Callithrix jacchus: one gene and its partners. The protein of the gene in region 1 binds, or shares a complex with, the protein of each later gene. Links are inferred from orthologs where the notes say so. Each region holds a gene or a part of one and is shown in the gene's direction. Other genes may lie near its edges.

Region 1 (2,637 bases):
TGCTGATTTATTGCTAAGAAATTAATTCATTGATTATATCAGGTATTTTATATTTGAGCTATAATTCAATTAAATTTTGAATTTTTTTTTCTCTTTAGTGTCTAGCAGAAGGAGGAGACCTGAATTCCTTTGAATTCAAATCACTTACAGACTCATTAAATGATATCAAGAATACAATAGATGCTTCTAATATCAGGTAATTCGTTAGGTACACTCTAATCTTTTTAATGGAAGTTTGTAGTGATTTTCAGTACAAGTTTTAAGAATTATGTATATTTGTGAAGTACTCATGTTATTCTCCATTAAATATATTTTTAAGAGCTTTTCACTTATATCCAGTCTGTTGACAGAATAGAAATTTCACATAGATTTTGTATATAAAGAAATTAGGAGGTATATTTAGGTTTGGGGTTAACATGGAGGTTCAGCTTAGAAGTTGAGCTTTCCCAGTCAGTGAGAAGCTCATCCCCTCCTTCCAGCTCCCTGTGGCTCCTTTGCTTCTTTAGAGCATATTTGTTCAATTACTACTGAAGTAGAATTATGGCTAATGTAGTAGAGGAGATTTATTCCTTCTCTAAGACTTATCAGAGCTGTTTCCTAACTAAAATTCAGCTCTCCTTTTTAAAAACTTTTTTTCTTAATTTTTTGAAATAAAGTTGTTAACCATATTTCTTCTTTCTTTAGTTGCTTTCAGAATAATGTAGAAATCCATGTTGCACATATTCAGAGTGGCCTGAGCCAGATGGGAAACTTACATGCCTTTGCAGCAAATAACACCAACAGAGACTGAGTAGAAGATTTCATTATTCCAACTGCACAGGACATTGTTCTTTTCCTTTATATAGGCTTCCAACACCAAATAACCTAACTGCTGGAAAACAAGGGAAATTTAAATCTCCAAATAAGGCATTTTAATAGACTACTGCTTCTTAAACCAGCATTGCTGACCAGCATTATATTTATTTTTCTTTTATTATTCAAATGCAGTAGCATTGCTTATGTTATATATGTTTTTATTAGCAAATATTTTTAAACTGAGAATATCTGAACATAATATAATTTCATTGACCAATTTTTTTAACGTGCATGAATTCGCCGCCACACATGGAGACAACTCAGACAACTGCTGCAATGGAGAGTCTGAAGAAACCTGGTCTTTCTGTTCATGTCGGTGCAATGCGGAAATTCCATCCAGAAAATTACAGCTCCACTTAATTTAGTTACTCACCATCTCAGTCTTCAAAAGATGACATCATGAAGTGTGGGAAGTCCTAGTTTTAAGGAAAGCCACTGAAATATAGATGGGAAATATGGACTTTACAGGTATATGTGATATATACTTGCAATGTGACATGGTTCGATAGATCATTTTATAATAATAAATATTTAAATTTATCATAACTTATATAAAAGAAAACTTTGTTGTTTGTCTGTTGAAATAAAATGAAGGAATAGGGAGAAAACATAACTGCAAAATGCTAAATTTCTGCAAATGGATTTGGCATATCTTCCCATCAGTTCAGGTCAAAAGTGCTATTGTTATGAGATTTATTTAAAAAAAAAAAAAAAAAGACTGATAACACACTATTTTCATATTTTTTTTGTTTGTTTGCACAACTTTTAAACCAGATTACTGGTTAAAATCCAACAGTACACAATTTGTAAAGTAAAAAGATTTTATAGGGAAAACAAATATAATAACCAGTGCTGTGAAATGCAGAAGAAAGGTTTGTTTTGGTTGTTTTTCTTTTTTAGGAAAATCCTGCCTAAAATGTTAATCTTGTAAAAAGTATGTATTTGGAATTTTCTTTGTTTTAATATAGAATATTATAAATTCAAAATATAAATTGTTTTCAAATTTGGAGTTTAAGATACAGCTGTAGAGGTGATTTTAATTCCTTTAGATGTCTCATCAAATGAGACTTTTTATATGTTAATGTATAATAAAACTGAAACAAGATTATTTTCCATTTGAAATTTTTGTATAGTTTAAAAATGCTTCCGTATTCTTTGTTGGTATTGTGCCACTGCAGAACTTTAGTGCAGAGTTTATATTTAGCTAAACTGTTATGTTAATTAAATGCATAAATCTTCTATTCTTAATATTTGTAATTCTAAATAAATTGATCTATGAAAATTAGTATTTCCTATATTTTCATTTAATTAATTCAAGTTGATATGCATTCCTTCTGTTTAAAAGTTTTGAAGAATTGTAATTTTCATTAAATTACATTTTTAGGGGAAGCAGTACAGAGTAATTACCAAGTCACTCTACCATACCATCCAGTGGTATAGATTTTATTACCATACCATACCACTATACCATACCATCCAGTGGTATAGACTTTATTACCATACCATACCACTCTACCATACCATCCAGTGGTATAGATTTTATTACCATACCATACCACTCTACCATACCATCCAGTGGTATAGATTTTATTACCATACCATACCACTCTACCATACCATCCAGTGGTATAGACTTTATTACCATACCATACCATTCTACCATACCATCCAGTGGTATAGACTTTATTACCATACCATACCATTCTACCATACCATCCAGTGGTATAGATTTTATTACCATACCATACCACTGTACCATACCATCCAGTGGTATAGACTTTA
Region 2 (3,500 bases), on another chromosome or scaffold:
TTCAGGTTGTGTCTTGTAGTTGGCAACTACTGTATAGTCTATATCTCAGCAAAATCCACACGGTGTATTCTTGTGTCTTACAGGGAAGTCTTCTGACCAGCTGGCCCTCTGGCCCTCCTACCATGAAGGAGGAGGAGAGCAGTGAGGAGGAACCTATAGTAGCCACCACTTGGAAGGAGCAGGAACCCATCCCTACAGATCTGGATGCAGTGCGAACACCAGAGCCCTTGGAGGAATTCCCGAAGCGTGAGGACCAGGAAGGCTCCCCGCCAGAAATGAGCCTGCCCTACAAGTGGGTTGTGGAGGCTACAAACCTCCTCATCCCTGCCGTGGGTTCTAGCCTCTCTGAAGCCCTGGACTTGATCGAGTCGGTATGTTGGTCGCAGCACTTCGCAGTGGCACAGAGCACTCCTGGCAGTAATGCTTCTCTTGTGGGCCCACATCGTTTTGCCCATTCTGTTGCTAACAGTTACTGACTTGATGCTGAGTGGCTAGCCCTGACTCAAGGGCTGTGGACACTAGGGTTGTCACCACGCAGTCCCTGTTCTTGGGGAGCTCCCAGTGTGTGCAGCAGGAGTTTGTGGTGGCATCTGACTTCTACGTATGGCACGGGGTGGGGTGGGAAGGCTGCCCAGAGGAGGTGTCACTGCACTGTGTCCTAAAGGTTGACTGGCAGGTGACAGCACAGGACAGCATGTTATTTGTGACGTCACACATGGTTGGGCCTCCCTGAAGAGGTCCCCAGGAAGTGTCAAGGCTTGGTGTTGGTCTTGGAGTGGTGAGTGGGTTCTGGTTACTCAGGGTGGGGCAGGCATTGAGCCCATGTTGTGGTTACTGTGTTGGCTGTAGGGTTGTGTCCTCTGAGGAGGGCTTCTTGGTGTGACACTCCAGCTTCTGGCTGCATTGACCAGGACTGCACTGTAGAGCGGGTTTTGGGAGGTGAGAGACCCAGAGGCCTGGTCATTGGGGTGGGGAGTTCAGTATGAGGGCTCCACATTTGCCTTCCCACGTGAGTGTCTGCCATCCTAGAACATCTACTAACTGCCAGGCTCTGAGCTACACATACAGTCTGCGTGGTATCCTGTGAAGTGTGTCATTTCTGTTTTATAGGTGAGACTGAGGCTCAGAGAGGTCAAGTAGTATACCCAGGGTTGCACAGCAAGTATGCTTGGTGGTCTTGACTGCCATGCTGTACTCCTGCTATTACCTGATGAAGGGTTGGAGGGCCATCTGCTCAGACCCTCTTTCACTGTAGGCCTCACCTCTTGACCCCAGTGGCTGGGACTGGAACCAGCTGCAGGGTCTGTCTGTGGTACCCCCACCTCCAGGGGGTTTTGGAGGAGTTTGACAGGCACCAGCACATTCATGGATTCTCAGCATAGCTCTGAAGCAAGCACTGGACACCATCTCTCCCGCCAGCCCTGAGGGGAGTGCCAAGATGGGAGTCAGTCCCTCTATGCCTGGCACATTGTGTGTACCACAGCATCATCTCCCTTTACCTCAGACCATTCTGTTTCCTTTTGCTTGGTAGGCATAGCTCACTTGTATTGAGCACACACTAATTGCCATACCTGATGCTTAATGAGTAATGACAGTACCTAACATTTGAGTGCTTGCCGCGTGCCAGGCCCTTCACTTGCTACCTAATGTGTGGGTTCTTCGTTGGTCTTTAACAACCTGTGAGGTGGGTAGTGAGAGCACCCCACGCTCCCAGGAACACGAGTCAGACCCTGCTGTCTAGCTCAGCACTCAGGCTATTTCCACAGTGATCTTCTTCATCTGTTGGGGGAGTTAGTGCATGTGTGGAAATTCCGTCCTCCCTTCCCTGCTCTGTCCACTCCAGGTGGTCCTTGTAGGATCTACTTCTTGTCTATCAGACGCCTGCAATGCTGGGGCCACCCTGAGGTTGGGATGTGGGCCTGAGGTCGGTCCTGCCCCCAGGTGGCCTTCACCTTTGGGAGTGAACTGCCCCAGGCTCCTGTAAGTCCTGGGAAGCAGAACTTACAATCAGCTCTGGGGTCCCCTCAGAGGCCAGATTTCCGCAGACCAAAGTGGAAGCCTCTGTGTCCAGAAGACTTTTGGTTTGTGTTGTGATTTATTGAGTAAAGGAGGGAAAACCTGGAATGATTCACGGGCTTCTTAGAAGCTGAGTAACTTCAGGGAGACTAAATCCCCTTAGCTCATCTTCCTTGGTATGAAGGTGAAAGCTCATCATGGGTCAGGATGGCTAGTGACTTCCCTAGGAGAATTGTAGGGATTGGAAACAACTTTTGTGAGCTGCCCCAAGCAGGCACCAATGATGAGTGACATCCCATTCAATGCTCTGTATTTCGTTCTGTAAAAATAACGTGCAGGTAGGGTACTGTGGTTCATGCCTATACTCCCAGCACTTTGGGAGGATCATGTGAGCCCACAAATTTGAGATCAGCCTGGGTAACATAGCGAAGCACTGTATATCAAAAAGCTTTTATCAAAATTAGCCAAGGCCAGGCACAGTGGCTCACACCTGAAATCCCAGCACTTTGGGAGGCTGAGGCAGGCGGGTCATGAGGTCAGGAATTTGAGACCAGCTTGGCCAATATGGTGAAACCCGTAACCCATCTCTACTAAAAATACAAAAATTAGCTGGGTGTGGTGGCACAAACCCGTAGTTCCAGCTACTCAGGAGGCTGAGGCAGGAGAACTGCTTGAACCCAGGAGGTAGAAGTTGCAGTGAGTGGAGATCGTGCCACTGTACTCCAGCCTGGGTGACAGAACAAGACTTAATCAAATAAATAAATAAATAAGAAATAAATTAGCCAAGAGTATCAGTACATGTCTATAGTCCCAGCCACTCAGGAGGCTGAGGTGGAAGGATCACTCGAGCCCAGGAATTCAAGCCTGCAGTAAACTGTGATTGTGATTGTGCTACTGTACTCCAGCCTGGGCAACAGAGACCCTGTCTTTTTTTTTTTTTTTTTTTTTGAGATGGAGTTTCACTCTTGTTACCCAGGCTGGAGTGCAATGGCGCGATCTCGGCTCACCACAACCTCCACCTCCAGGGTTCAAGCAATTCTCCTGCCTCAGCCTCCCGAGTCGCTGGGACAACAGGCGTGCGCCACCATGCCCAGCTAATTTTTGTATTTTTAGTAGAGACGGGGTTTCACCATGTTGACCAGGATGGTCTCAATCTCTTGACCTGGTGATCCACCTGCCTCGGCCTCCCAAAGTGCTGGGATTATAGGCGTGAGCCACCGTGCCTGGCCCTAGAGACCCTGTCTTTTTAAGGAAAAGAAAGAATCTGTGAAAATATAGATGTACAGTCATAGAAAACTGAGGAAATGCATGAGATATTAATAATTAGTCCTGGGCTATAGGTTCATACTTGACACTTAAATATTTCCCTTAATGGACAAGTCCTCTTGTATTAAAAGCAGAGTAATTGCAATTTTAACCTCCCTCCCTGGACAGGACCCCGATGCTTGGTGTGACTTGAGTAAATTTGACCTTCCTGAGGAGCC
Region 3 (2,906 bases), on another chromosome or scaffold:
GTAGTTAGTGTTCATCAGCCAGAGGTGCTTCCATCTAATCTCAGTTCACCAGGTAATGCTATTATCTGGTGATTTGATTGTGGCATCTACTCACAGTAATGTATTTTGGTTTTGATTTGGAAACTTTTGTAAATCTTTTAGGCAAAAATAATGTGTTCCTCAATATGCAAATGTGTTGGCTGTAAGAATTTTGAAGAAAGCCCAGAAAGGAAGACATTGATGCACTTGGCAGATGCAGCTGAAGTAAGGGTACAACAACAAACAGCAGCGAAGACGAAGTTATCCTCTCAAATTTCAGACTTGCTTACTAGGCCAGCACCAGCTTTAAATAGTGGCGGTGGAAAGTAAGTCAGTATTTTAATCTTTTTGTAGTATTTCCCAAATACTCACTTTTGGTAAAGTTTCTTTTTGGGAGCCAAGTTGAGTTTATACTTTTGGTTGTTGCAAACCTGATTTTCGCACTTTCTTTCCATCTTCAGTTAACTTTTAGATGTTTAAAGGTAACAGAAACTACTGTCGGATTATTGCACAAGTCTAAAATGCACAGTAATGATTTAGTCCCTTGTGCTTAATTTCTGCCTACTAAGATGAGGTAATTATGTAATTTGAGGAACCCCAAAGAAAACCGGGTGTTTCATGTGTCTCGATGAAAGTGTAATTATTCATGGTTTTGCATTTTCTTACCTTCTCTTGCCTTTTCCATTTCTTGGAGCAGTTTCCCCATCCTGTTGGGCCACCCATCATATCATACTGTAATAATGCAGCTCCATATTGTTATCTCCTTTATCTGCTAAGCTCTGGAGTAGAAAAGCTTGACCTCTAAAGTCAGGAAGACTTGAGTTTATGCTATCTGTGCTACTTAGTAGTTTGTGAATTAGACAAGTACTTCATCTCTTTGAGCCTCAATTTTCTTACTTTTAAAATAGCTCATATCAGGTGGCTGTGAGGAACAAGGCATGTCTATAATATCTCCAGTGTTTGTCAAGACCTGATACAACATAGGTTTGTGATTTGGATTAGACTGATATTAGCAAGCTTGGTAGAGGTTAATTTGAGGTGTTATTAAATGGAATAAACCTTGCAAATGGCATATTATTTAAAATGCCTAAGTTGAAAATGAGATCCAATGCTTATAAAAATAAGGCTTTTTTTTTTCCTTTATGAGATGAAGTCTCACTCTGTCGCCCAGGCTGGAGTGCAGTGTCACGATCTCAGCGCACTGCAACCTCTGCCTCCTGGATTTAAGCAATTCTCCTGCCTCAGCCTCCTGAGTAGCTGGAATTACAGGCATGCACCACCACACCCAGTTAATTTTTTGTATTTTTAGTAGAGATGAGGTCTGTGTTGGCCAGCGTGGTCTCGAATACCTCACCTCAGGTGATCTGCTCTCTTGGCCTCCCAAAGTGCTGGGATTATAGGCATCAGCCACCATGCCCTGCCTTAAGATATTGGTTCTAAAGAACTCTTATCATTTGAAAATAAGCAGCAAATGGTTCTTAGCTGAATAAAGTGGAAATGGGCAGGCACTTAAATGATGTTTATAACCTGGGATCCTTCTGGTTTTTAGAGTACTGAATCTCATCTCCACATGGAGGTTAAAGATATTGCTACAGTAAAATATTTGTAATTTTTAAACTTGGGAAGATGTTTATGATATGAAATGAAAACAAAATTATAAAATTATACATTATAATCAAAACTACCTATTAAAAACTTGTATTAAAAAGTTATGCCAAAAATAAATAAATAAATAAAGTTATGCCAGCATGTTAACAGGCTTGTTTCAAGTGACCAAAACATTGAATTGGTATTTTCTAGTGTAAAGTGCTTGTTTGTATGTTAAAGATTTCTATATAGCTACATGGCAGCCTGAATTCTCAATCACCCTCTCTTGCCATTGTGAGCCTTAATTTCAGACTTCGTTGTTTAGTATACTTCTGTTAGTGACTGCTTACTCACAGGTTGTTGAGTTAGTGGTTAGATTATGTTGCTTGAATTAATCTGTCACAGACTAAGACTTGAGTTGAGGCCAGGCACAGTGGCTCATCCTGTAATCCCAGCACTTTGGGAGGCCAAGGCGGGCAGATCATGAGGTCAGGAGTTAGACCAGCCTGGCCAACATGGTTAAACCCCGTCTCTACTAAAAATAGAAAAATTAGCCGGGTCTGGTGGTGGGTGCCTGTAATCCCAGCTACTCTGGAAACTGAGGCAGGAGAATCACTTGAAACTGGAAGGCGGAGGTTGCAGTGAGCTGAGATCATGCCACTGCACTCCAGCCTGGGCAACAAGATCAAAACTCTGTCTCGGGAAAAAAAAAAAAAAAGACTTGAGTTGGCTATAAATAGAGCAAACATCACCATGGGTTGCTCCAATTTAATCCTCCATAGTTGGGGTCTTTATGGATGCAGCTCTGAATAGAGCAACATTAGGTTTCCCCATTTTGTTTTGTTGTGATAGAACAATGCAGGATTTTGGTATGTTTTCTTGTTTTCTACAAACATTATCAGTGACTGTAGTAAAGTGCTTTATTTTCCATTTTGTCCAAGAGATAGTGCTGTCAATTCCCAATATTATTCTTTAATTCAGCAACTATTCATGTAGTGTCTCTATGTGTCATGCACTATTCTAGACTGGAACGACAGCAGTAAATAAAGATTGAACTTACAGAGGAGCATACATTCATGATTTGGAAAGGTTTAGTTAAAGAAATTCTAGTCTTCATGTAGACTGTATCTTTTAGTTACCACATAACCTTGCCTAGGTAATACGTCAGGTATTTTATATTAAATGTTATATTTCCTGAACAATATTCTTACAATATGTGAATAATAAAACCAGATCTAACTTGTTAAAGCTCTTTTTAGGATGTGCTTGTGCTCACTGTGTAAATTGTGATGCTCATCCTG
Region 4 (4,237 bases), on another chromosome or scaffold:
TGTCCTCTGTGGCACAGTGCAGAAAATCCTGGACAAGTGAAGGATGTCTGGAAGCTTCCCCAGCTGTCCATCCTGCGGCACTGCGGGTTGTCTGTGTGTCTTGTGTTGTTTCTGTTTCGTGACCATTTGCTTCATTTTCTTTCCTTTTTCAGAAATGGCTCAGGGAACTGTTGGAGGTGTGTTCATCACGACAGCAGGTTCCACATCTAACGGCACGAGGTTCTCCGCCAGGTGACAGCGGTTGAGGGTGTGGGAGAAGCATTGTCTGGGCCTCCTGTGGGGCCCAGGGGCCAAGGCAGGGTGGACGTCTCAGATGTGGCCATCAGGTCTGAGGCTGCTCCGACGTGCTTGTCTTCCCAGGCAGTGGCCCCACCGGCTTTCCCTGTGTGGAGAGCTGCTTTTCCTAGTTGGTTTCTCCTCACTAAAAACTAAAAGTAATACGTGGTGGTTGTTTTTTTTTTTGTTAAAGTATCACCTAAAAAGTAAGTAGGAATGAAAACCACCCAAATCCTTCTGTCCCGGGCAGCCCAAATAACAGCAAGTATTTCTAGTTTTTTTCTCCTATTTTTCAGAACACGTCTGCGGTCACAGTGCATTTGTATTTCAGAACGCATTTGTAGTCATGGCGCATGTATTTTTCAGAACGCATCTGTAATCACAGCACACATATTTTTCAGAACGCATCTGCAGTTACAGTCCACGTATTTTTCAGAGCAGTCACAGTGCACATATTTTTCAGAATGCATCTGTGGTCACAGCGCACGTATTTTCCGAACATGTTTGTGGTCACAGTGCATGTATTTTTCAGAATACGTTTGTGGTCACAGTGCACTTTCTTTTCAGAACACATCTGTGGTCAGAACGCACATGTTTTCTTCCATGCATTTTCACCTTACATTTTATTGTATTTATATATATTATTTCTGTGCTATTAAAGGGCCTTTATTTAAATAAATTCGTATTTAATCTTTGACCTGCCATCCCATAGGGTAGAATGATGTCCCTAGGTATTTATCTTGGTGCTTCAAAGAGAAATATAGCTTTTACAACAGATATTAACAAAACAAAGATTTTATTGACTTTTATATTGCATTGTGATACAATATGTAGTATTACTTTATATTAATCCTAAGTGTTCATAAAATCTTTAATTGGAAATCTAAGAACTTAGTAACCTGTGGGTCCAGATAACAGGGCACGACGTAGTGAGTTGCAGTGCGCATGAGCCTGTGTTGGAATGTGCTGTGGCCGTGAGATGTGACAAGTGTGTCAGGGGTGCATGTAGCTTCCTGGCCAGCTCTGGGGTTACAAAGCCAGTCTCTTCCAGTCTTGGCCTCACCTGTAAGGTGAGACTGGTGATGAGTCGTTGATCTGTGGCAAGGATCAGTGAAGTGGTGATAGAAGAAGGGACTTGTCACAGTGCCTGGTAACAAGGTTTTGACCGAGGCCGGTTCTCTTTCTCTTCAGCTGTGTGTGAATGTGTAGGGGTCAGTCTGTAAACATGTTTAACACTGGTTCTTCCATGAGGTGAAATGTGGGTGTTTTTAGGACTTTCATCATCAGATAATCCTTTTCATGGATGTGATTCTCAGACTTGTCAGTTTTTCATAACAATGGAAACAAAGCTACTACCATTTCTTATGAAATACCAATTTTCAAAGTGGCATGATGGGACATTTTATGAAAGTACCTCATGAAAGGACATCTAGGCAGTTCCCAGTTATCAGGAAAACTACAGTGAGCAGCTTTGCGGCTGAATTTCTCACCATTTCTGACGTGTTTCTAAGATACAGAATCACTTCATCAAAGGCATATTGACTCATTTTCATTGTAGTTAATAAATACTATTAAAATATATTAAAATATATGCATATATTTTTATGCAGTTGGAAAACATTTTTAAATCTTGGAACATTGTGAGCTGTGATTAGTGGTAGGTTTTTGTGGTGCTGCAAACCCTCTGGGTTCCCAGTCCATGCTGCTAGATTCTAGCCGTGCTCTGGACTACATCCTGTCCTGCCCCAGGCTCTCTTTTTTTCCTGTTGCTGGTTATGAGTGAAAGTCCTGGAGGGAGGGATCTAACAGTTTTTCAGTTCATTGCCTCTGGGCACTGCTCCTGATGGAATGATGAGTGAGGGAGAGGGAGCTTGTGGCTCTGCTCAGCCTCCTATTTCTGGCATTGTGGATTCCAGGAGACAGGGTCCGAGGAGAACCAGACGGGGATGGAGTGAGTGCCAGAGTGCTGGCGTGCTGTAGTGCAGACACTCATGACCTCCCAGTTCTGTGTGTGTGACTGACAAAACTGACACCTGTTCGGCGCAGCCTGTCCTTCAGCCGCAGGCCCTGAGGTGAGGGGAGGCCGAGTGGACTGCTCTGCACTGACTGCCTCATCCGCCTCCTGCCTTGCAGTGACCTGACCAACGGTGCAGATGGGATGCTGGCCACAAGCTCCAACGGGTCTCAGTACAGTGGCTCCAGGGTGGAGACCCCAGTGTCCTACGTCGGGGAGGATGACGAGGATGACGATGACTTCAATGAGAATGACGAGGATGACTGACGTCCTCCCCACTTCAAATTCAGCTTCAGGAAAACGTTTAGGGAAAAGAAACTTTTTTTTTTAATGTGGGTTTTCTGTTTCCTTTTGGCCTACTCCCAAGAAGATATTGGTAAGCTATTGAATTTAGATATGCACCTCTGATAAGCAAGGGTTGTTTACCGTAGGATTAGGACGTGCTGTGGATGTGTGTTTTGATACCAGTGTGCTGATGCAGAGCGTTTATTTACTTTTTAGGATTTTGTGTTTTCATTTTTCTGGTTTTCTCTAAGTGCAGAGTTCAGTTTCGCCCCTGAACAGTTTTTGCTGAGTCTGCTGAAGAAATTATATTTCATCCACATCCATGAAAATAAAACACCCTCCTGTGGTGGATGGTGAGCACCTGGTGCCATTTATTTGCCGTGAGTCTGGACGGCACCCCCGCTGGTGGATAGCAGGACTCTGTGGATTGTTCCATTTGGTCAGTGGTACTGTGTCCAGAGCCCCAAGCAAACAGCAGAATTCGACTTTCTAAACAATAAACTTCATCAACCTTATTGACTTTATTTTCCCTTAAATTATATTGACTGTTGTGATTCCATCAAGCTTATCAACTCTTTTCTCTCCCTATTTGCAGCAACAAATTGCAAAGTGCTTTTGTTTGTTTGGTTAGGGCTTATTGCCACGCTGGTGCGGCTATGGAGACTGTCTGGAAGGCTTGGAATGGTTTATTGCTTATGGTAAAATTTGCCTGATTTCTTACAGGCAGCATTTGGAAACCTTTTATTATATAGTTGTTTACATACTTATAAGTCTATCATTTAAAAACATGTACTGAAACAAATGTTGTATTTGTTTCATAAGCATCTTCCTGTAATCTATTATAAAATTGAAATTAAATATAGAGAATGTTTTAACAATTTTTTAACTCAAAATTTGTCAATCATTTTTAATAGTTCTTTTTTTATAAAAAGGAAAAGGAATTTAAGGACAGGCAGTAGTCTCTTTTAAAGTTTATTCACAAAACCCATTAACTGCACAGTTGCTGTTAGCTGCCTGTTCTGAAATGATAGTCTTTTTATTGAAACACAAATAAACTTTTCTGTAATATTTTATGGAATATAAAGAGACTTTAATTGTTTGACTTGTTTAACTTGGCACTGTTAGTTTTTATTAATAAAACGCGCATGGGCATTTTGAACAAGCTGTGTTTCTCTAATTCAGGATTATTGTCTAGAAATTTGTCTGTCTTGTTGGTCTTACTTTATACTTGAGTGAGAAAGTAGGTTGTTATTAGGCCCAGACACAGTGCGTCCTGGTGGTCCCTGTGGGCACACCCCCCGACCAAATTTTGGTCAGAAGCACATCTTCCGGGAGCCCACCCTGAAGATGGAGAGTGGCCAAGGGTGGAGGTCTTGGATATAAGGAAAGGAGGAGGCACCTTTTTTGGTGCCTGTGGTGCAGAGAAAGATAAGCCAAGTTCCTTGGCTTTTTTTCACGATGAAAATTGAGACTTAAAAATGTAAAAGTTTGACTTCCAGAACAAGAATAAGATTGGGAGGCTTCTGGGAAGATGGTGGAATAAGGAAGCCAGGAATCTGACGTCTACTCCCAGGCAGGATCTGCTGGATGCAGCTGTTCTGTAACTACGGAATCTACCAAAGGCTTAAAGCTTACAAGGGAGCATATGGCAGTTAATTTTGG
Region 5 (3,949 bases), on another chromosome or scaffold:
ACCTGGAGTACACGTCTAGAAGGAGATTCAAAGTTCATACACTTACCCTCTCCCCTCACATCCCCTCTCCCCCTTACCTCGGATCAAGGAAAGTGAAGTAGGGTGGGGAAAGGGAGCAATGGCAACGTGGACGCTCACGGCAGGGAAAGAGTAATCAAAAAGAGTAGTTCTCGGGGGAGAGAGAGAAGGCTGGTGCAGAGGTGAAAAGGAAAGACGGTGGACGGATGGAGTGGTGAGGGCAAGAGAGTGACAGCAGGGACCGGGCAGGGCTGGAGGAGAGTGGGCGAGAGCCAGAAAAGAGGAGGCTCAGGAGTAAAAGGGTGTAAGGCCAAGAGTAACAGCTCGGGTGGGATCCGGGACGAGGTAGGGTATGAAGTGAGAGCTGCGCATGGGACAGGGCCGCACAGGTCGCGTAGGAACACGAGGTCCGGCCAAAAAGGGGCTGGGCCAAAAAGGTGGTCCCGCCCGAGGATGGTTCACGGAGTGGACGGAAAAGATCTAAGTCCTGGCTTCATGGTCCCTTGGCACCACCCTCACTCGCCTGCAGGATCCGGGCTCGCACTGCCGCCGCCGCCACCACCGCCGCCATGGCTCTCGGCCTCCCTAGCTCCGCACCCTGCGCCTCTACTGCTCAGAAGCACTACAGCTGCCAGGCCTCGCCCTCCATCCTGACTGGCTTCCTCATTGGTGGGTAGGACTATTTTTTCCAGCCAGTCACGCGAACCAACACCTGATTCCGCCCCTCACACGCCAGTCCTGTGAATAAGTGATTGGTCAGGAGCGAAAAAGGTCTCGCCCTCTCCCACTTCAGCCAATGCTGTTGGCGGAGGTAGAGAAGACGCCCCTGACTTGGACACTCCATACTGTGCACACGGGGAAGACGCCCCCTAACCCGGAACTCCGATTGGCCAAGGGCGCAACCGAGGCCCCGCCCTCTCACCGAGAAAAGTAAATAAGACCCTCCAAGAATTTTGCAGTCGCTCCACCTCAACAACTGCGCGAGGGGCGTGGCTATAATTAGGGGCGGGGATAGGCAAATGTTGCCCTATGAGGCGAGGGAATGAGACTAGGCTGTGAGTTGGGGATAGGGTTTCTCTTTGGGGGAGTGGCTTATGGATCCTCGTTTTCCCGCCGACGGTTGGCCATGTCACGTGACATGGGTTGGAAGATGGCGTCTCCCACAGACGGTAAGAGCCGGCTTGTAGATCTTTGCCTGCAGCCTCCTTCTTTGCTCTACCGGCAACGTCTACTCTGTCTCTGCCCCTCAAACATACATTTCTTTCTTGGGCTCTTCTCCTTTCCCTTTTACTTTTTTTCTTGAGATCCATCGCCGTCTTCAGCTCACTGGTTCTTCACAGCGGCTCCGGAGGTGCCCAGTTTCCCCGCTCTGTACCAGGCGTGTGGAGGAGGGCACCAGGGAGGGACTCACTTTGGGTAAAAGGACAGGGGGTTGCCCTGATCCTTCCTTGTCTCTATTTGGGTGAGGCTGAGAGCCTCGGAGGAGATGTTAGTGGAGGAAAGGACGTGCCTTAAACTAGTCTCCTCCTTGGAGTATCACACTGAGGGATCAGTTTTCTTCTGATTGAGCGCAGGGATGGAACGATTCTCACAAACTCTAGCAGTGGCTGCTGGCTGACCTCATCTCGATACTGAACCGCAAGAGAAACATGATCTCTCTCCTGTCTCTTGTTTGGGACCACTGCCGTGGCAGCAAGATAATCGGGGGACGTTCTCGGCCCCTCACCGTGAGAGTCGCGAGGAGAATGAGTATTGAGCTTTTAAGTGTTGTCTTGCACAGGTCGCAACCTCTTTTGCATCTGCTTTTTGTGTTGTTTCTTCAGGCTGAGTGAATGAACGATTTCTGTTTATGTATTGTAAAATGCAAGTCATTTCAAGTAACAATTAGGTTGTCTTGGTATATTCCTATGCTTTTGGTCTCGGTTCTGCTTTAGAGAGTTAGGGTCTTGCAGTCATTTTTAAACTCATTTTTGTTTCTGTCGTTCCCATCCCAACTATATATATCGATTTCATTGATATATAGGTTTCCCTCCCTTAGACAAACACATTTTGTATTTGGAAGGAATCTTGAAAGTTCATTACAGGAATGAGGAAATTGAAGCCAAGGTGAGCTTTATTAAGTACCTGCTACATGAAACGCATAATGCTAGGTGCTTTGAGATTCCAAAAGATTACTCAAACATATAAATATTTTTTTTTCAATTTCAGATCTTTTTTTAGATGTCACCTCCCAAAGAGTCTCTTAGAACACAGGATCTGGAGTCGCTCTTCCCCACCATTATTCATTATCTCAGTGTCTTCCTTGTCAGCATAGTAATTCTGTTAACTTTGCCCCTTTTATGCTAGATTATAAATTTCAAGTTTGTCTTGTTTATAGTTGGATCCCAGGGTTTAGCACAGTGCCTGGTGAACAGTAGGTCTTTAATTAGCATTTATTGAAAGATTGATTAGATATATGCAGAAATAATATATTACTTGATCTTAAGTTTTAAGATCTTGGGAGGCTGAGGCGGGCAGATTGCCTGAACTCAGGAGTTCAAGACCAACCTAGACAACATGATGAAGCCCAGTCTCTACAAAAAAAAAATACAAAAATTAGCTGGGCATGGTGCCACACACCTGTAATCCCAGCTACTTGGGGGGCTGAGGCAGGAGAATCTCTTGAGCCCTGGGGTGGAGGCTGCAGTGAACCATGTTCATGCCACTGCACCAGGCTGGGTGACAAAGCGAAACCCCCGTCTCAACAACAACAAAAAAGAAATTATGGATGTTTGGAGTCAAAAGAGAGTCTCCTGCCTGGGTGCTCTCTTGCTGAAATGTCCTTCTCTTGCCAGAAAGAAGGGCATTTAAAAAGCAAGGCGAGGGAATAGGGAGTTACTGTTAACAGGTACCAAATTTCAGTTTAGGTAGGTGAAAAACATTCTGGAAATGAATGTGCTGATGATTGCACAATTAATGTACTTAATACCACTGAACTGTATACTTAAAAGTTGTTAAAATGGTCAAATTTATGTATATTTCACCACAATTTAAAATAACAAAGCCAAGTGATAGAAGTAGAGGTAATTGTTATTAAATTTTTTAGTTTATTTTTAAATTGTTTTTACAGATTTGGGGGATTTTAAAGATGTGTTTCTTGAGTTGGATTTTTTCCCCTGTCTTCTCAATTTAGTTTCCTTTCTTTGGCCAGGAAGAGTATTAAAAACATTGTATGTTTTTCCTTTGGTCTTCTAGCCATCTTTATGGTCACTTTATTTGCACTCTTTATTTTTTAAGTTTTCATTCTTATCTCTTACAGAGTTTCACTCTTCTCCACCTAATCTTTTCTTTTTAATCTGACAAAATCAAGTCGAGCACTTTGAACTTAATTAAATTCATCTTCTAAATAAGTAACTCATTCTAAAATATTCCATGGCCTAGCTCTCTCACTTCTATTTTTAGTGTTCCACCTGTCACTGTCTTTAAAATTTAATTCAAACAATATTGATTTAAAAATGTTTTTTATTTACTCTTTTGTCTTTTTCATGCTAAATTTGCTGGAACTTCTTTGAAAAGGAGAAAACTGAAATTCAAATACAGCCATCTAATTACTTAATTTGTGAGAGTAAGACTCACAGCAGAGTTCTGTCCCAGATTGTGGTATCATAAGGTCACCGGTGTAGGTTATAGATCCTACCCTCAATGATTTTTTTTTAAATTTTCTTTTAGAGACAGGGTCTCTCTCACTCTATTGCCGGTGCTGAAATGCAGTGGTATGATTATAGCTCCCAGCACACTGAAAGGCTTAAGCTATCATTCCATCTCAGCTTCCCAAGTAGCTGATACTACAGGCTCACACCACCATGCCCAGCTAATTTATTTTTGTTATTATTTATTTTGTTTTGAGATGGAGTCTCATACTGTCATCCAGGCTGGAGTGCCATGGCACCAT
Region 6 (3,500 bases), on another chromosome or scaffold:
ATTATCTTTTAAACCCTTTATTAAAGCACAGGATAATGTTGTGACTGACTTTATACTTTCTAAGAGATTTGATATAGTAGAGAAATGCAGTAGTTATAAATCTAAATTTGCTTTTACATTATAAATAACGAATATTGTGAAACCATCTCCCAGAGATAAGTGTAATACACAAACGTTGGCTGGTTTTTTTTGACAATACATCTGTGCTATTAGTACATATAAATGGATTTTTAAGATAGTCTATGTATAAATGTGAAAAATGAAGAACTTCCAGTTTTTCTTATTTTCCTTTAGACCAGTAATGGATACAGTGAAACTAAAGGACATCTTCCATCCTTGCTCTCTTTTATAGGAGTAGTAAAGTTGTATCACTTCTTGAATAAAAAAGAATTGTGAGGATGATCTTTTAGAAGCAATGCCTTAAAAATTATTATTGTTTAATGATAATATGTTAGTAATCTACAATAGTTTCATTTGGTTATAAGAATAAATTTCATGCATTCATGTATGTATTTTGATTAGGTATAAAATTAGTGGCTGAATGTCCATTCAAGCTTAATTTTGTATTTCTATAATTTTCTAGATTTTGAGCAAGATTAAAAATACAAACAACAATATTATGTCCATTCCGATGGCTATATAACAAATTACCTTAAAACTTAGGAGCAGAAAACAATTTGTTTTGCTCACAGGTTCTGTGAGTCAGAAATTCAGGCCAGGGACAATATTGATATCAGGTTTCTGCATCAAAATGACTGGTACCTCACCTGGAAGACTTGAGCAACTAGGAACTGGCACAGCTGGAGCTCATTGGGCATCTCTGTATGTCTGTTCCATGGTGGTCTCTCCAGCATGGTGATACCGGGTAACTGAATTCTTGGATGTTTTTTTAGGACTCCCAAGGCATATGTCCTAAGAGAAAGAACCAAGTGGAATCTATATTGCCTTGTATAATCTTTAGAATTACATAGTATCACTTCTACCTCTGCTGTTGATAGAGACAGTTAATCAGTGTGCAGACCCCTGCCCACCTCCATGGTGAGGGAACCTTCCCTGCCTCTCAGTAAAATAATGTCAATGTCACATTATAAGAAGAACATGTGGGGCCAGGCACAGTGGCTCATGTCTGTAATCCCAGCACTTTGGGAGGCCGAGGTGGATGGATCACTTGAGGCCAGGAGTTTAAGACCAGCCTAGCAAACATGGTGAAACTCCGTTTCTACAAAAATTAGCTGGGCCTGGTGGCACATAGTCCCAGCTACCTTGGAGGCTGAGGCAGGAGAATCACTTGAACCTGGGAGGGGGAGGTTGCAGTGAGCCAAGATCACACCACTGTGCTCCAGCCTGGGTGACAGAGCGAGACTCCATCTCAAAAAAAAAAAAGAAGAGCGTATGAGATAGGGTTCTTATTGAAAATAAATTTCCCACAAAAATATAAACACTTTCTTTTATTTTTTCACCCTGCACCACCATATAAACATTTAAACATACTTTAAAAAAATATTGAAATAGATATATAGCTTATTAATTAAAAATGGATTTTCTTTTCTTTTACAGGGAAATGATCTTCATTGGTTAGCATGTGCCTTATATGTGGCTTGCAGAAAATCTGTTCCAACTGTGAGCAAAGGGACAGTGGAAGGAAACTATGTATCTTTAACTAGAATCCTGAAATGTTCAGAGCAGAGGTAACTATGTTAGAGTTTGAGAAGTAGAGTATGGCTTATATGAGCTTATAAATCTTAGTGATAGTAACAATTCTGTTTATCATTTTCTGAGCATTTGTACCTGTGGACGGGTGAAATTAGATGCTAAAATTAGCATCCAATGATTTTCCTTTATTTGTATCAAAGTTGGTATCCATTATATTTTATTTCTTTGGTGAAAATATTTAAATTTTAATGTATTAGACACTTGTATTGAAGAGTTTATTATTTTATTTTTATTTATTTATTTTTTTGAGATGGGGTCTTGCTCTGTAACCCAGGCTGGAGTGCAATGGCGTGATCTTGGTTCACTGTGGCCTCTGCCTTCTGGGTTCAGGTGATTCTCCTGCCTTAGCCTCCTGAGTAACTGGGATTACAGGCATGTGCCACCATGCCCGGCTAATTTTTGTATTTTTTTGTAGAAACGGGGTTTTTGCCATGTTGACCAGGCTGGTCTTGAACTCTTGACCTTGTGATCTGCCCACTCCTGCCTCCTAAAGTGCAGGGATTACAGGTGTGAGCCACTGTGCCCGGCATTGGAAGAGTTTATTTTTAAAGGTTATAACATTGTGTAATATTGAGAGAAATGAAGGATATTGAGAAACTGTAGGAGATACTATAAGTTGAAAAGGTAAATAAAATATTAATTATTTGGTATTGTACTTAGAAATATGTGTACAGGACTTGTGGTCTTAATATAAATGGAACGTGTAAGTATTTCTCGGTTTCCTGTTTGGAAGAAAAATGACATGATTATAATCCATTTTAGAAAGAGTCAAATATGTTTAAAAGAAGAGGCAGAAATTGCTTTATCTGTTGTATAATTAAATTGATTACATTCTTTTTTTTGTGCCTTTTAGGTGAATTGTCTTATATAGCTTATTAAAGATAAGTGGAAAAATGATGTCTAATATTTGGGGGGAAATTATCACTGTCAAAATTTATGGATCTAATAGTTAAAAAAATCATGACTAAATAAAAAAATTGACCAGGTGTGTTTGTGCATACCTGCAGGACAAGCTACTTGGGAGGCTGAGATGGGAGGATCACTTGAGCCCAGAATGTTGAAGCAAGACCTTGTCCCCTACCCCCTGCCAAAAAAAAAAAAAAGCTTACTATTAAAGTAATTAACAGGCCAGGTGTGGTGACACACACCCGTAATCTCAGCACTTCGGGAGGTCAAGACTGGTGGATCACTTGAGGTCAGAAGTTCGAGACCAGCCTGGCCAATATGGCAAAAACCCATCTCAACTAAAAATACAAAAATTAGCTGGGTATGGTGGCGTGTGCCTGTAATCCCAGCTACTCGGGAGCCTGAGGCAAGAAGATCACTTGAGCCCCGGAAGCGGAGATTGGAGATTGCAGTGAGCCGAGATTATGCCATTGCACTCCAGCCTGGGTGAGAAGAGCGAGACTCCATCTCAAATGAAATAATTTACAGTGTCATGCTCTAGCTGTAATTTTTTTTTAACCGTTAGCTCCATCCTGAGTTACATTGACCAGACAATCAGTATGCAGAATTATATTAAGAACTACTAACAGGGTTAATAAAATGAATAAAGAATATGACTTCACAAAGGTTATAACTCACATAGCTAATAGATACAGGAAAAGATAATCTCACTAAGAAAGATTTTCAAAGTAAAAGGATAACATTTTATTCTATTTATTTATTTATTTATTTTGAGATGGAGTCTTGCTCTTTTGCCCAGGCTAGAGCACAGGGGTGTGATCTTGGCTCATTGCAACCTCCATCTCCTGAGTTCAAGTGATTCTCCCACCTTGGCCTCCCAC
Region 7 (3,500 bases), on another chromosome or scaffold:
GTACAGACTTGTTATTTAATGTATTTAAAGTCTGCTATTCTTCTTAGACTTGAAGTCTCTTTTTTTCCACAGCTGCCTCAAAGAAAAAGGTTCATAAGACAATTCTAAAATTAGCATAGTCATTTAGTTTACTTTTTCCTACATGGGAATGGCCTCTTAGTTGGATACCAGAGTTTCTAATCTAAATCATAGTTTGTTTTTGTAGAGTGATCTCAAAAAGGTTTGTATTAAATTAAATCATAGCTCATTTTGGCAGATTATGTTTTCTGAGTATGTGCTTGGGCTTACAGAATTTCTTTTTAGGAATTATTTTTAATAAGTATATACATTCAAAATAATTCCTAAAGTGGCAGCTGACAGAGTATACTAATTCATTTAGTAATGTGTAGTTTTTTTTTAAGGCAGTCTTGCTCTGTCACCCAGGCTGGAGTGCAGTGGCACAATCTCGGTTCACTGCAACCTCCACCTCCTGGGTTCAAGCAGTTCTCTTCCTTCAGCCTCTAATAGCTGGGATTACAGACATCTGTCAGCATGCCTGGCTAATTTTTGTATTTTTAATACAGATGGGGTTTTGCTAGGTTTGTAAGCTGATCTCGAACACCTGAGCTCAAGCAATCCTCCTGCCTCGGCCTCCCAAAGTGCTGGTACTATAGTCATGAGCCACTGTACTCAGTCCCAGTTACTGCCTTCTAGATAGGATGATAAGTCTTAAACCAGTAAAATTACGATAAGAATTGATCGTGTTGTGTTGTCATGATGGCAAAGAGATATCCAAAATATTTTGTTATTTTTGAGATGGAGTTTCACTCTTGTTGCCCAGGCTGGAGTGCAATGGCACAATCTTGGCTTTCTGCAACCTCCGACTCCTAGGTTTAAGGGAATCTCCTGCCTCAGCCTCTCTAGTAGCTAGGATTACAGTCACACCTGGCTAATTTTGTACTTTCAGTAGAGATGGGGTTTCTTCATGTTGGTCAGGCTGGTCTCGAACTCCCGACCTTAGGTGAACCGCCCACCTAGGCCTCCCAAAGTACTGGATTACAGGCGTGAGCCACCGCGCCCAGCCCAAAATTTCTGTAGATTAAAACAGTAATGTCTGTCTCTCCATCATTAAAAATGTGACTGCATGTGAGATTTTTAAAATAAGAGCTAGTCAGCCAGTGCCTGGCTAGCTCAGTCGGTAGAGCATGAGACTCTTAAAATAAGAGCTAGTTTGAATTAGAAAACAAAGGAAACCAGGAAAAATCTTGTCAGGAAAAAAGAAGAGGTATTTTTCATAAGTAGCAGCATTGAGTTTACCAGCAGGCACCTGAAAAGACAGTGCGGTGTGGGTTTTGGCCAAAACAGATCTGTCTTCCCTGAAGCAGGGTGGCATTCTTACCTCAGGTATTTCTTCTTGTGTTTTGAGAGTCTTGCTCTGTCAACCAAGCTGGAGTGCAGTGGTGTAATCTTGGCTCACTGCAACCTCTGCCTCCTGAGTTCAAGTGATTCTCCTGGCTCAGCCTCCCACGTACACCTGGCTAATTTTTTTTATATATGTGTATTTTTAGTAGAGATGGGGTTTCATCATGTTAGCCAGGATGGTCTCCATCTCCTGACCTCGTGATCTGCCCATCTCAGCCTCCCAAAGTGCTGAGATTACATGCGTGAGCCACTGTGCCCATTCCTGGCTTTGGCTCTTAACCCCGCAGTCCAGGTGTTTAGTGGTGAGGGCAGCAGGCATTGAGGATAGTACACTGGGCTGCACCCTGAGGGCTGGGTTCTGGAGGGCTTATCTAAGAAAAAAACAAAGTGCCTGTGGAGTGTTTTCATTTTAATTCCTTCTCTCCATAAGCTCCCCTCCTGTATTTATTTTTCCTGGTTTTATGTTCTAGAATTTTTTTTCTTCCAAGAAGGTGAGGAAACCTGGGTTTTTCTCTGCTTGGAGGACTTACATTTTTTTGTTCTCATTTTTTCCTTTAGATATCTCCACAGGACCTTCTTGGTTAAATCAGGGACTACTTCTGAACTCTACCCAATCAGGTTCAAATTTAGACCTGACCACTGGTGCCACCTTACCCCAGTCAAGGTATGTATTGTTTTCAGGGTTAGAAAGGCAAACCCCAGAGCCCTGACTGACTGTAGCAGTGAGCCGGGCTCATGTTCCTGCCAGCACAGGTCCTGCTGAGCAGGTTTGTGGCAGATCTCACCAATGGCACCTCCTTCCTATCTTTTTATCCTATGTTTTACAAAACTGTTTCTACCACATTAATGAGCCTGTGTGTTTTTAATTGTTTGCTAGTGTAAACCAAGGGTTATGCTTGGATGCAGAAGTGGCCTTAGCAACTGGGCAGTTCCTGGCCCCAAACAGTCACCAGTCCAGCAGTGCAGCCTCTCACTGCTCCGAGTCCCGAGGCGAGACCCCCTGTTCATTCAATGATGAAGACGAGGAAGATGACGAGGAGGATTCCTCCTCCCCAGAATAAAGACAAGAGAAAGCCTACGTTTCAATATGTGATGCTCATGTGTGTTTGTAGTGTGAGCTCTTGTTTTTGAAATGATTGCTTCAGTCTTTGCCTTTGTTTGCACTGTGTTCAGTGAAAACTAGAGAAACACAATAAGCAAATCACATTAAGGCTGAGATGATTGAGATGAAAGTTAACATAGTGTAAACGAAAGTCTGACCAACAGCAGTAAATGGTATCACAAAGCAAGCATGTTCCTGAGGAGATAGTGGGGAGAATCCCTGAAGAGTTGGCAGTGGGAGTGTAGCCCATTTATATTCTGTGAGGTGGGATTTTTGTGTTCCTCACACCCATGTAATTATTCTTAGAATTGAGATTGCTACATGGAGCAGTCCTTGACGATCGAGTTTTTGTTTCCCTTCCTTGCCTGGACTGCCTTTGACAAGGTGGAAAGGAACATGAAAAGTCCCCAGTAGGGGGAGCTGCGTATTGAGGGATCCAGAGGGCAGTCCTGTGGCCGAGGGGCACAGATTGAACTGCTGAACTAGTTGGAGGTCTAGTTGAGGTGCTTTACGCATCAGCTGCCTTAGACAGCTTCTAGAAAGGAGCGAGCGCTTTCTTAAGTACTTAAGCGACATTTAGATAATTTATAGTAAAACCGAAATTAATCATCATTAGCCAATGCATTGGTGCATAGAATTTACCAGGGCTACTTCTGGAAGCCAAAATAGAATAGTGTTTCCATGTACATTAAATACTTGCCAGCACTGCCTTTTGCCAGCATCCTAAATCTGGAGTTTTACAGAGAGGGAAACTGTATCTTTAGGTTAATCAAAGCTATGCATTTCATACAGCTTTTTAATTTAAAACAAGACAAACAAATTCCTGTGACCAAATTGCTTGCCTCCAGTTCCCTGCAGTAATTGTGTGATCTCTCCCAGTGTGCAATTTGTGAAAATGAACCAAATGTCATTACTTTTGTCTCAAAGAAAAGTCTATTTCAAGAATATGAACAGCACTGTTTCCTTGTACATGTCACCTTTTTTTCACATTTTCATT

Evidence for each region.
Region 2: the proteins of LIN9 (region 1) and MYBL2 are in contact, whole or in part, in a crystal structure (PDB 6C48), measured with the Homo sapiens proteins. The link is inferred for Callithrix jacchus from reciprocal best matches to the Homo sapiens genes LIN9 and MYBL2. Residues at the interface, in NP_001353174.1 of Homo sapiens: Lys356, Gln385, Arg386, Tyr388, Ala389, Thr390, Val392, Leu393, Leu395, Glu396, Asn399, Leu402, Asn403, Leu406; in NP_002457.1 of Homo sapiens: Trp663, Ala667, Cys668, Gly669, Gln674, Met677, Gln678, Ala681, Arg682, Leu684, Leu685, Arg687.
Region 3: LIN9 (region 1) and LIN54 share a complex: the UniProt entries of both Homo sapiens proteins name them as parts of the DREAM complex. The link is inferred for Callithrix jacchus from reciprocal best matches to the Homo sapiens genes LIN9 and LIN54.
Region 4: LIN9 (region 1) and TFDP1 share a complex: the UniProt entries of both Homo sapiens proteins name them as parts of the DREAM complex. The link is inferred for Callithrix jacchus from reciprocal best matches to the Homo sapiens genes LIN9 and TFDP1.
Region 5: the proteins of LIN9 (region 1) and LIN52 are in contact, whole or in part, in a crystal structure (PDB 6C48), measured with the Homo sapiens proteins. The link is inferred for Callithrix jacchus from reciprocal best matches to the Homo sapiens genes LIN9 and LIN52. Residues at the interface, in NP_001353174.1 of Homo sapiens: Leu335, Gly336, Phe338, Phe342, Leu343, Ile344, Val346, Thr347, Leu349, Ser350, Lys351, Leu353, Met354, Lys356, Lys357, Ile360, Leu363, Arg364, Asn367, Thr368, Ala370, Glu371, Lys374, Ile382, Phe384, Gln385, Tyr388, Ala389, Val392, Leu395; in NP_001019845.2 of Homo sapiens: Asp61, Met64, Leu65, Leu68, Gly69, Leu71, Thr72, Thr73, Leu76, Met77, Val80, Leu83, Gln84, Leu86, Ala87, Leu90, Asp93, Glu94, Glu97, Met98, Arg100, Gly101, Leu104, Asn105, Ile106, Leu107, Glu108, Pro110.
Region 6: LIN9 (region 1) and RBL2 share a complex: the UniProt entries of both Homo sapiens proteins name them as parts of the DREAM complex. The link is inferred for Callithrix jacchus from reciprocal best matches to the Homo sapiens genes LIN9 and RBL2.
Region 7: LIN9 (region 1) and TFDP2 share a complex: the UniProt entries of both Homo sapiens proteins name them as parts of the DREAM complex. The link is inferred for Callithrix jacchus from reciprocal best matches to the Homo sapiens genes LIN9 and TFDP2.

The regions. Positions count from the first base shown.
Region 1 is NC_133520.1:23,015,478-23,018,114, forward strand, and holds the end of LIN9 (protein lin-9 homolog), read left to right. Parts: intron 1-98; coding exon 99-196; intron 197-684; coding exon 685-790; 3' UTR 791-2,137; downstream 2,138-2,637. UniProt on the Homo sapiens protein: Acts as a tumor suppressor. Inhibits DNA synthesis. Its ability to inhibit oncogenic transformation is mediated through its association with RB1. Plays a role in the expression of genes required for the G1/S transition.
Region 2 is NC_133506.1:39,073,373-39,076,872, forward strand, and holds part of MYBL2 (myb-related protein B), read left to right. Parts: intron 1-83; coding exon 84-371; intron 372-3,450; coding exon 3,451-3,500. UniProt on the Homo sapiens protein: Transcription factor involved in the regulation of cell survival, proliferation, and differentiation. Transactivates the expression of the CLU gene.
Region 3 is NC_133504.1:114,862,099-114,865,004, forward strand, and holds part of LIN54 (protein lin-54 homolog), read left to right. Parts: intron 1-141; coding exon 142-344; intron 345-2,906. UniProt on the Homo sapiens protein: Component of the DREAM complex, a multiprotein complex that can both act as a transcription activator or repressor depending on the context. In G0 phase, the complex binds to more than 800 promoters and is required for repression of E2F target genes.
Region 4 is NC_133502.1:29,108,517-29,112,753, forward strand, and holds the end of TFDP1 (transcription factor Dp-1), read left to right. Parts: intron 1-152; coding exon 153-231; intron 232-2,409; coding exon 2,410-2,557; 3' UTR 2,558-3,737; downstream 3,738-4,237. UniProt on the Homo sapiens protein: Can stimulate E2F-dependent transcription.
Region 5 is NC_133509.1:109,031,448-109,035,396, forward strand, and holds the start of LIN52 (protein lin-52 homolog), read left to right. Parts: upstream 1-1,149; 5' UTR 1,150-1,156; coding exon 1,157-1,187; intron 1,188-3,949.
Region 6 is NC_133521.1:11,359,325-11,362,824, forward strand, and holds part of RBL2 (retinoblastoma-like protein 2), read left to right. Parts: intron 1-1,557; coding exon 1,558-1,688; intron 1,689-3,500. UniProt on the Homo sapiens protein: Key regulator of entry into cell division. Directly involved in heterochromatin formation by maintaining overall chromatin structure and, in particular, that of constitutive heterochromatin by stabilizing histone methylation.
Region 7 is NC_133518.1:42,587,437-42,590,936, forward strand, and holds the end of TFDP2 (transcription factor Dp-2), read left to right. Parts: intron 1-1,959; coding exon 1,960-2,065; intron 2,066-2,278; coding exon 2,279-2,462; 3' UTR 2,463-3,445; downstream 3,446-3,500. UniProt on the Homo sapiens protein: Can stimulate E2F-dependent transcription.